Linked DNA regions of Drosophila melanogaster. Each later gene encodes a partner of the first gene's protein in a complex. Each region holds a gene or a part of one and is shown in the gene's direction. Other genes may lie near its edges.

Region 1 (4,658 bases):
GAAATGGAGCGGGATAGATAGTTCCTTCCAGGGACGCTTTATAAATCCTTTTTATACGTCATAAAATCTGTTATTGGTGGGTTTCTACTGTTTCCATCGCTATTATTTATTGGTCGTGTGCGTGTGTTGTGCGAAATTATATGCCTGTTATAAAGACGCGATAGGGAAAGGGGGCGGGAGTTGATTAGCTCCCGAAATATATATATATATATATAAGTATATATGAGCAATTTAGAGTTGCAGAGGGCGGTGGCCAGGTCAAAACGGTGCCTGACACAATGTGGCACGGTTATTGAAAAGCGACTGGCTGGTGTGCGTGTGTGGGTGGGTGACTTTCCTGCCTCGCTTGTTGCACTTGCCACACATAATGGAAATCTCCAAAGAAAAGTTTCACCAAGCAGAAGAAATTTAATTAAATAATGTATCATAGCGAACGGACTTTGAAGCATTTTTGAATCGATCGCAGTCAATTTTTAGTTGCATATTTCAAAGTATTGGGGGCACTAATATATTTAATAACAATCAAAACTGACTCGGAACGATGCAGGCGAATTTTATTAAATAATATTTCATGCTGAACGACTTTGTTATATCGTTTTATATAAATAAGACGGCCTAGTAAAGCACTAATTTAATTTTAAAAATTTTATTTCAATTCTTAGTTGGAAAGAACTTTGTTTCTGCATATATACTACAAATTATATCGTTAGAAAATTTTTGTTTGAGAATTTCAAACAGATTTCAGTTAGATGTAAGATTGGCCTTAGTTACGTCTTTAAATTTATGGAAACTATTTCTTGCGAACCATTGAAACATTGTTTTTTATCAATACATACTTAAATTTAAAGCATAATTTTCTGATAATGATTGATTTATATTAAATGAATCCCGTAAAAGAGATCCAAAATAGAAGACAGCGAAAGATCATCTTGCAGATGGCTTCCATTCCATTTTCTTCTACCTACAAGTCAAAATATATAGTATTTTCCTATGGCAATAATCTGTTGTACTTATTGCAGTTGTCAGAATTGCAAGTGATAATTCCCTCTCTCATATTCAAGCGCCACGACCAATGACAATTCATTTCTTCATCTCACACAGTTACTTACTATCAGCACCCCCTCTCACCATCACCATCCCTTCACCCAACCCAAAAAGGGTTAACCCTTTCCTTTGCCACAGATTTCATTCATAAATGCGAGCCACCAGTTTCACGCGCCCAAAAGTATGGCGAGAGAATTTCCCAGGCTTTCAATGCCATTCAATTCGTATTCAACCGAGCCGAGAGCGCGCCCCCCATTGGGCAGCACACGCACACACACACGCGCAGAGCATGTTAGGAAAAAAGAAGCACCACGAAGTGAAAAGCGCCCGCCAACAAAAAGCAAAATAAAATGTGGCCCAGCAACAACAAAAATCACAGTTGTCTGATTCGTTCGCGAGGCCGCTGCCCACCCCCCGGGCGCCCACTAAAAAACACCACCCACCCACTGGGGCGCCCACACTCCCCCCAAAACCCCCCAAAACGACGACGATTCGCCAAAGGAGCATCTTCGGCATCGCTCGGCAGTCGCTGGGAGTCGTTCCACGCGACTTTGGTGGCCCTCGGAAATGCTGGCTTCAGTACATCGACGGCGCTCGGTTCGTGCGGTTGGCCTTTAGTCCTTCGAATCCTGCTGCATACAAGCAAGCAGAATCCCTAACGGAATCGCGTGTGTTTTTTGCCGCCAAGTGTTGCATTCGTGCTGCAAGTGAATCGAAGTGATGCTGTAGACGCCATGAGTGACTTGTGCTGAGCGAATTTCTCGACAGGATTTAAAAAAAAAAAAATCAGGACAGCTCAGCCGCAGGACATGTGCAATTTGGAGTTTCACGAAAAATACAAGATTGCCAAGAAAATGCTCTGAAAAAGGTTGTTATGCTGCAGCTATTAAGTTAAATGCGAACTTCCATTAAAATCTGCATGCAAGACTATTGAAAGAAAGCAAGGAATCCTTTTTCTAATCGCTGGCTGTGATTGCGGCCAGTGAAGGCATTCGAAAATAGTTTGGCAGCGATTTCGGCCAGGTCAAATCGACAACAAGTAGAATTCGCTCGCGTGTTGAGTCGCGCGCGTTTTTAGCCGCTTGTTGGCAATTTAGCCGCGATTTTGGCGACATTTGCCGTCAGCTGCGTGTTTGCTGTAATTATATTTAAAGTAAAAACAAAGCCCGAGTTATTTATGAAGCAACAACAATCGGGCCACCCTCGGCGGTCAATGCTCGTCACATGATTTGCCATTCCAGCTGCATGCGTGTCTGTGTGTGTGTGTGTGTGTATCGTGAAATTTGCCTACAAATGTGAATGTGTCTGGCGCGCCACTCGACGCTGTTTATTACGAGTGTCCCCGTATGGCAGGAGTGCACTGTTTAGGCCACATGGGCAACAATTGCATATTTTATGTTTCACGGCTGCCCGAGTGTAATTTAAAGTTCATTGATATCCATAAAGCGCAGGACAAACCCTCGACGCTTCATGCCAATTTGCTGTCTAGCTGGCTAGCCATTTGTTGCAAATATGTTGCAGCGCTTTTGGGACGAACCGGAAATAATATGTGTACAGTGTACACTGTACAACCCACATTCGGTGGTTTTCCCCCGGGGTGGCATGATGGTGCCTGTTTTCGATTTATGGCGTTTCTCTATCATTTGCATTTTACATATAATTTCTGATCAGTTGTTATCTGCTCGATTGTGATTTCAGTTGGCGCCCACAGCCGAATGTGCACTGTCTACTGACGCTCCAGGTGGGGCCGAGTGGTATACATATATGTATATTATGGAAATTAAAACATGTTGACTCAAGATTGAAAACCCTGTTGTTCTGCTGCGAAATCGTAATCCCCTTAATCCGAATTCCCCCGCCTGCTCCGGTATCAATTGCATAAGAAGAATTCCAATTGCCCCCGGAGCGATAACGAAATGGTTGGCAAGGCCTCGTCGTTCAGTCGGCTTGACATAATGGCCGGCATGTGAGGAGTTGGATTTTTCCTGCCATTGTTGTTGCTGTTGTTAATAACAAGCGATAATAATCAACTTCCGTGCTGGAAAGCGAGCGGAGGAGAAAATTGTGAAAAACCGAGCGAAACTCTGATTTCTAGAAGGCGCTGCCAGCCTGAACACTATGAGTTATGCAAATTTTATGCAAGGTCCGGTTAACTGGGCTGCCCTTTTCTGGGCCGGATTAAAAAAAATTTAAAAAGCTAGACGGCGAATAATTCTGAAAAATGTCGAAGTGGCATCGCGATAGAGCGGGATATTTATCACGTGTTAATTAATGTTTGCGCTGGAAATTGAATTTAAAGTATAGCTCGAGAAGTCTGGTAGTAGTAGCGAATGACATTTCAGTTGAAGCTTCTACATGTCAGCATTATTGTTTTAAAGGGAAAAATGCAAAAGGTGCTTCAAGCAAACTGTCGGGGGGGTTACTGAAAATTTGCCATAATTCAGCAGCTGATTATACACATTGAAGCGTTGGAGAAAAAGGGACCGTGCATGTCCGAAACCATAAAAATAATATATGGCTTGAACACTACAAAGGTGCCATGAGCACCTCTTATTATTTGTCATAAATATTTTCTTTTTTTGCTTTTTCATAAGTTGTACTTAAAGCTGGTAACAAAATAAGTACAGGAAAAGGATTTAGAAACATCCAAATTGAAATAAATTACACATTTGCTTGGAAAATTGCTTGTGGTCAATTTAGGCATTCATCACATTGCTCGATTGAATTTTCGCTTTGTTTAAATACTTTCCATTATTTATTACAAAATATTTTCAATTTTATATAATTACAGAAGAATGTGAAACACAATATATATTATATATGCTTGAATGAATGAAGATATTTTGTCAGTGTAGGCTGTTGTGCCAATTTAGAAAAGCAAAACTTTTAACTCGTGATAATTAATAAACATCAGTGATCTACATCGCCATCAATATCCAATGGCACCAAACATCCAAGAGCTGCCCACCAGAAGCGGGAAGGTACTTTCGACACAATCGCCTCGATATGGCTTCGGATTGTGGTCAGGCCGTGGGCCTGAAGCCTGAAGCCATCACCTGTCCCTGACTCCGAGTCCGACTCCTGACGTGGCCCGCATGCTCTAAATTATTAATAATATTGCCAGGCCCATTTGCTAGACATTTTTAGTGCCTACCGCCGTTCCAGGCCAACCGCCACCCCCTCCCTGTAACCATTTGCAGTGCTGTCGTTTGCCTGTTGTCTTTTGTAGTCTACTTTTCTGGGCATGCAATGCGGATTTAAATGTGTGAGTGTATGGGTGTGTGTGTGTATGTGTGTATGACAAAGGACACATAGCACACATGCCGGCAACTTTGCTTTCAATTCCGCTAAATTATGAAAAAATCAATACGAACTCGAAGGGAGGGGACAAGGAATTTTAATGAAATGTCAGTTTAAAATGGTTCCTGTCAGTTTGCGGCCGCCAGAAAGTAGACTTTTATTTTTCCAAAACCCGAAATCGTTTGCATGTTCAGGCTCATGGCCGAGTCAGCTGGAAAGTTAATCAAGGTTCCCCAATCATAAGGGCGGACTTTCGAACATATTGATATCTGCGTCTGGCAGCAGGCACCCTTCTATTATTGCCCCCGAACTAG
Region 2 (4,887 bases), on another chromosome or scaffold:
CTTCTGGTGCTATTACTCAGTGATGATTTATTCTGCCATGAATAATAAATCTGTAAGATTTATTTTTAGCCAATGGACCACTAATTTTTTTTGTGTGCACAATTGCAACTTCGCGGTGACACGTGACCGCAAGGACATTTGTTGAGCCTGAATGTGCCGCATCGCACGTCTTAATAGATTTTTGATTTGTTTGCCCACCCTTCTTAGCTGGTAACTCAGACTTCCCCATTCCGAACCCGGATCCATATCCGAATTCGAATCCAAATCCAATTGTGAGGCGGGCGTGCGTCTCTGATTGGAATAATGATTTCGCTGAAGCAAAGATAGAACATAAACCGAGCCAGATTTGTTGTTTTTTTTTTTTTTGTGGGGAGTAACTTGTTTTTGTCAATATAGAAAATCAATAACTGTTTTCGCCGCTACCGTTCGGTTAAATCAGACGAGGGTAATTCAATTAAGAAATCACACAGGAGGCCAGGAATTAGTAAAAATGGAACGCTCAAGGCTCCGCGAAATGGAGGATTAAAAGCGAGTCCTGAAAGTTGGCCATTTCTTTATTTCTGTCTATGATGAACAATGGGATGGTATTTGGGCAACATTTTACAAATTGTTTCAATTAAAAAGTTTACTGACTTTGCTTTTTCGCCTTTTACTTTATCTATAAGCGGCTTGCGATTGACACGTGCCTCCATCGCCACGCCCCCCCGACTGAACGCCTCCTTCGGTTATCGAATGGTAGTAATCGCTTTTTGGGGCCGCTAATTGCGGCGACCTTGATTGGTTGGGTGGTATTTATAAGTCCGCAAGTTGATTGCATAATACTGGCAATGTTTGGGCAGTGGGCCATAAGTCGTAAGCTGGGAAAGCCAAAAGCTGGGCCAATCAATTAAAAATAATCAGGCGGAAAAAGTTCTGGCCAATCTGCACAAATATATGTATATATTTCACAGTCGCTAATTAATTTAATTGATTTAAACGCTTCGGCTTGACCAATAGCAAGGCGAGGGGTTTGGGGGGTGTTATCGAGTGCATTTGATCTGTTTGTTTGCACAAAATTAAATTGACTTGTAATTAAAAGTTTCGCAATTGATTGAAATTCTCGTGTGTGCTTTTCCTTTGTGCTTTTGGGTGGCTGCGATGAGTCCCAGTACTAAGAACGCTTCAGGGAAATTCGCAGCAAATAAACAAAAAATAAGAAAAAGAAAAAAAAAAAAACACTAAAAAGTGCTAATTAGGAGCATTAATTAAAAATGCATTTTTTGTTTGCCGCTCAATTGAACTGCAGAGAACGTGGAACTGTAACAGTTTTCATACACTGGACATTTTCTCTTTAGGCCTGCGGAGTATAAGAGCGGCAGTATAAGAGTATCCCTAACTGACCTATGGCAGGATATTTTTGCGCGGTTTTCTTATTGTTTAGCAGCTTAAATGGTAGTGGGCATAATTAAATATTATATTAAAAACAAGAAGCAAGTTTCATTTATTAAGAAGTAGAACAATTTATTTCCTTTTATGATTTCCCTACATTTTAAAAGCAGAATGGTAAAACTAAGTCCCTAGAAAGTGGAATACAATACTAATATGTTAAAAAAAAGGTTTTATGAGTCTTAATAATAATTAAATAATTAGTAAAGGCTGTAATATAATTATTCATAAGCATTTTATTACAGTTGCAATAGTGCTTTATTACCTGAGACATTATATTCGATATAAACAAAGTTGCTTGGTAATTTCGTGCTCCAATAAGCCGACTGAAGAGAGCGGCTCTGCAGTTTTAGTTCTCTTTGCTCTTACATGTGAACAATATATATGCGAACTTGCCCGAGTGCCGAAGTTAGCCGAAGTCGAGGCGTTCGCCATGTGCCCGAGCGCCGATTACCAGTCAGTTCCATCCTGTGACTCGAAGGCGAAGCACGCGTTTCTTGATTTATGTGCGCGGGTTGTAGTCCCAGTTAAATCCTGTTCAGATATATTCCTCAGTGTTGAGGGTTTCGAAAAAGTGGGCCTAATGAGTGCCCGGGCCTTCGTGTTAATGGCGAATTAATGACGGGGCGATTAAAATGCAATAGCCACATGCATGGGGCGCCGTAATGAGCTGAACCGAGCGACTGAGTACAGTGAAACACAGTGCCATAAATTAGAGGCGCCCACAAAGTGTAGCCTACTGCTTAGCGGCTTTTGGGCTTACGATCTGTTTGAAGTGTTCGTAGACCGTTAAAACCTTTCGCACGCCCACAAAAAAAAAAGTTCTTGTGTAAAGCTCATTTCGCAGCAGATTAACAAAAAAGAAAAAAAAAACAAAACCAGAAAAAAAGGTCAACTCTCAGTGAAAACGAACCAAAAACAGGGCCAAGCGGAGAAAGTACTTTCATTGCTCCCCAGGCAGAGCTTAACCGAGAGTTTTGCCGGGCTCTAATTTGACGGAATCGTTAGTTGACCAGTGACGTTCCACCACCCGGGTGCACCCCCACCACACCGGAATCCGTTTCGCCGGATCCGGATCGCGTGCCAACTACAAGCGTAATAACAATAAACTTGCGGATAACAACCGCAGATACACAGATACAGATACAGATACAGCAGCACAATGTCCCTGCCATCCAGAGCCAATATCGGATTACTCAACTGGCTCATCGGCTGGCTGCTGCTGCTGTCGATGGTTTTGCTCAGAGGTGAGTTGTGCGTCGGGCTTTTTAATTAAATAATCCAATTTATTTTCATTTAATTTCTAATTAAATTTAATTTGTTTGCGCCGCGCTTTGGCCCACCTAATTGCCCCCATGCTCACCATGCCCACCACGCCCATCACGCCCACCATGCCCGTTGTAACCCAAAGACTTTCCTTTGTCGCCTAGGATTTCCCGTCTAATTTCCGGAAAACGAGCGATTTTCGCTGGCCTGGAAAGCGGGCGAATGCGAATTGAAAATTCTTTAATTTTTGTGCTAAGAATTTTAATTCCGCTACAGAGTCGGCAAAAGTTTTCCCTTTTGTCCCTGGCGCAAGTCAAAAGGTGAAGCATTTAATGCCCATCTGTGTGTGACTCCCAAAAAGTGGAGAACCAACAAAATGAAACATTATACAGAGGGAAAAACGAGTGCTCCCCCCGCATCTTGGTTTTAGAATATTTTTGTTTTTAATGCATATATTATATATGTATTTATACGAACTCTTCATGTTTTTTTTTGGGTTAAGATGAGTTAACAAAGTCAGCTAAAGTATATTTCTGTTAAATTATATAATATTACAAAATGTTTTAATATTGGATTTTGGATTGAATTTAACAACACTTTTAGAATATTCTACTTAAACTTTGTTTGAAGTAAGAACTTGAAATACTCACATTGTTATTGTACAATATTTAGTTTTATAGATACAATCACATACAAAAGTAGTTAGAAAATGTTTTAAAGGCTAGTCTACTATCATCTGCATTTAAAACTATTATTTACAGAAAAGCATATATGCAACTAAGTACTCCGGCTATTTGATTTTCCGTGCATTCGTGACCCACTCCTGTCCAGAGTTTTGCAGTCCTAGTTTCGCAGCCCACAAGGTTGGTCCAGTGACCAACTGAAGGGCAGGAGGATGAATGGCGAATGGCCGCATAGTGCGAGTGCGAATGCCACATGCAACGTGTGGGCTGGGCAAACGGTTTTATATAATAGTTTGCAACAGTGGGGCACAAGTCTCACTTTCAATGCATCAAATGAGAAGCACGCGCTTGTGATGCGCCGCGCCACAGAGATAGAAATGTGGGAAAATAAAAAGTAAATATGAAAAATAACACATACTAACGAGCGGCAGACACTTGGAAAATGCTGTTGAAGCTTGGTCATGGCCAAAATGCTTCTGGCTGCAGTTGCACTTGATGTTGTTGCCGCTTGCGCAGCAGCAGCAGCAGCTGCGTTGCATGTGGCACGTTGCAGTTGACACACGAAACTATTGCCATTGGGCTTGGCTTGGCTTTTTGGTTTTTCAGTTTTGGGGTTTAGCCGCCTGTTTGCTGCTTTTAAGTTTGCACTTTTTAGCTTTCAGCGGCTAGCAATTTTCTACTTTCCGTTTTCAGCTCGTCGTTTGTCATCTCTGAAAACAGTAAATTGCATTTTTATACAATTTTCCATCATTTGACTTGGCAGTTGTTCGTCTGGGCTTTGTAATTTTCAAATGAAATACTTTCCGAATGCAATTCGCTTTTGCGCAAATTGTTTCCTTCGTCCTGCTTTCCTTTGACTTGGCTGCTTCTTTGCCTTCTACCCGCCTATCTTGTTAGCCCATTGGCATCTGTCTGGCCATTTCATTTGGCTAAAAGCTACTTGAAGTTGGTTAAGCGCAGACAAACAGACGAAATAACTCATCTTGGCAATTGCAGAACCTGCAAAAAGGCAAGCAATCAAAAAAGATTCCTATCGAATTACTGGGCAACCGATTTTCCAAGGATTTTCTTTGGTCTGGGTTTTATTTGTTCTCTCACAAAGGTGATGATTATTACTTGTAATGATATATTGGAATTAAAATTATTTAATACAAAGTTTTTGGGCATAAAGATGGTTTAAGTTGATTGCAAAAGGCTAACAAGTCAAAATCTAAAATGTAATTTTTCACTACTTTAGCATGGACAACTTTGACAATTAGCCATATTCACTTTTTAAGTACCAATATTTTATAGTTAAATTTGCATATTATTATGCAGATTATTTTTATTTTTATTATATATATATGCATATTGGAATTTTTTGAGGCAAATTTTCGGCCGGCTGTTTGATTCTTTTTCTCAAATTAATTGACAGGGAAAAACTCGACAAATGCATGCGCATATTTCCATAATGAATTCATAAAACTTTCGATCGTGTCCTTTCGCGAGCTCGTGTTATTTGGTTTGTTGGTTT

What was found. The genes of interacting proteins can lie anywhere in the genome.
Region 2: the proteins of DIP-eta (region 1) and dpr1 are in contact, whole or in part, in a crystal structure (PDB 6NRW), measured with the Drosophila melanogaster proteins. Residues at the interface, in NP_001188701.2 of Drosophila melanogaster: Tyr72, Lys73, Val74, Ala75, Leu77, Arg78, Val79, Thr81, Gln82, Thr83, Ile84, Ile87, Ile92, Thr93, Lys94, Asn95, Met124, Gln126, Ile127, Asn128, Thr129, Asp130, Met132; in NP_001286645.1 of Drosophila melanogaster: Asp82, Lys83, Ser86, Ile88, Lys90, Asp92, Leu93, His94, Ile95, Ala98, Tyr103, Thr104, Ser105, Asp106, Glu136, Gln138, Asn140, Glu142, Lys144.

Annotation. Positions count from the first base shown.
Region 1 is NT_033779.5:5,614,909-5,619,566, reverse strand, and holds the start of DIP-eta (Dpr-interacting protein eta), read left to right. Parts: upstream 1-1,620; 5' UTR 1,621-1,912; intron 1,913-3,905; exon of another isoform or gene 3,906-4,337; intron 4,338-4,658.
Region 2 is NT_033778.4:20,696,599-20,701,485, forward strand, and holds the start of dpr1 (defective proboscis extension response 1), read left to right. Parts: upstream 1-1,884; 5' UTR 1,885-2,587; coding exon 2,588-2,672; intron 2,673-4,887.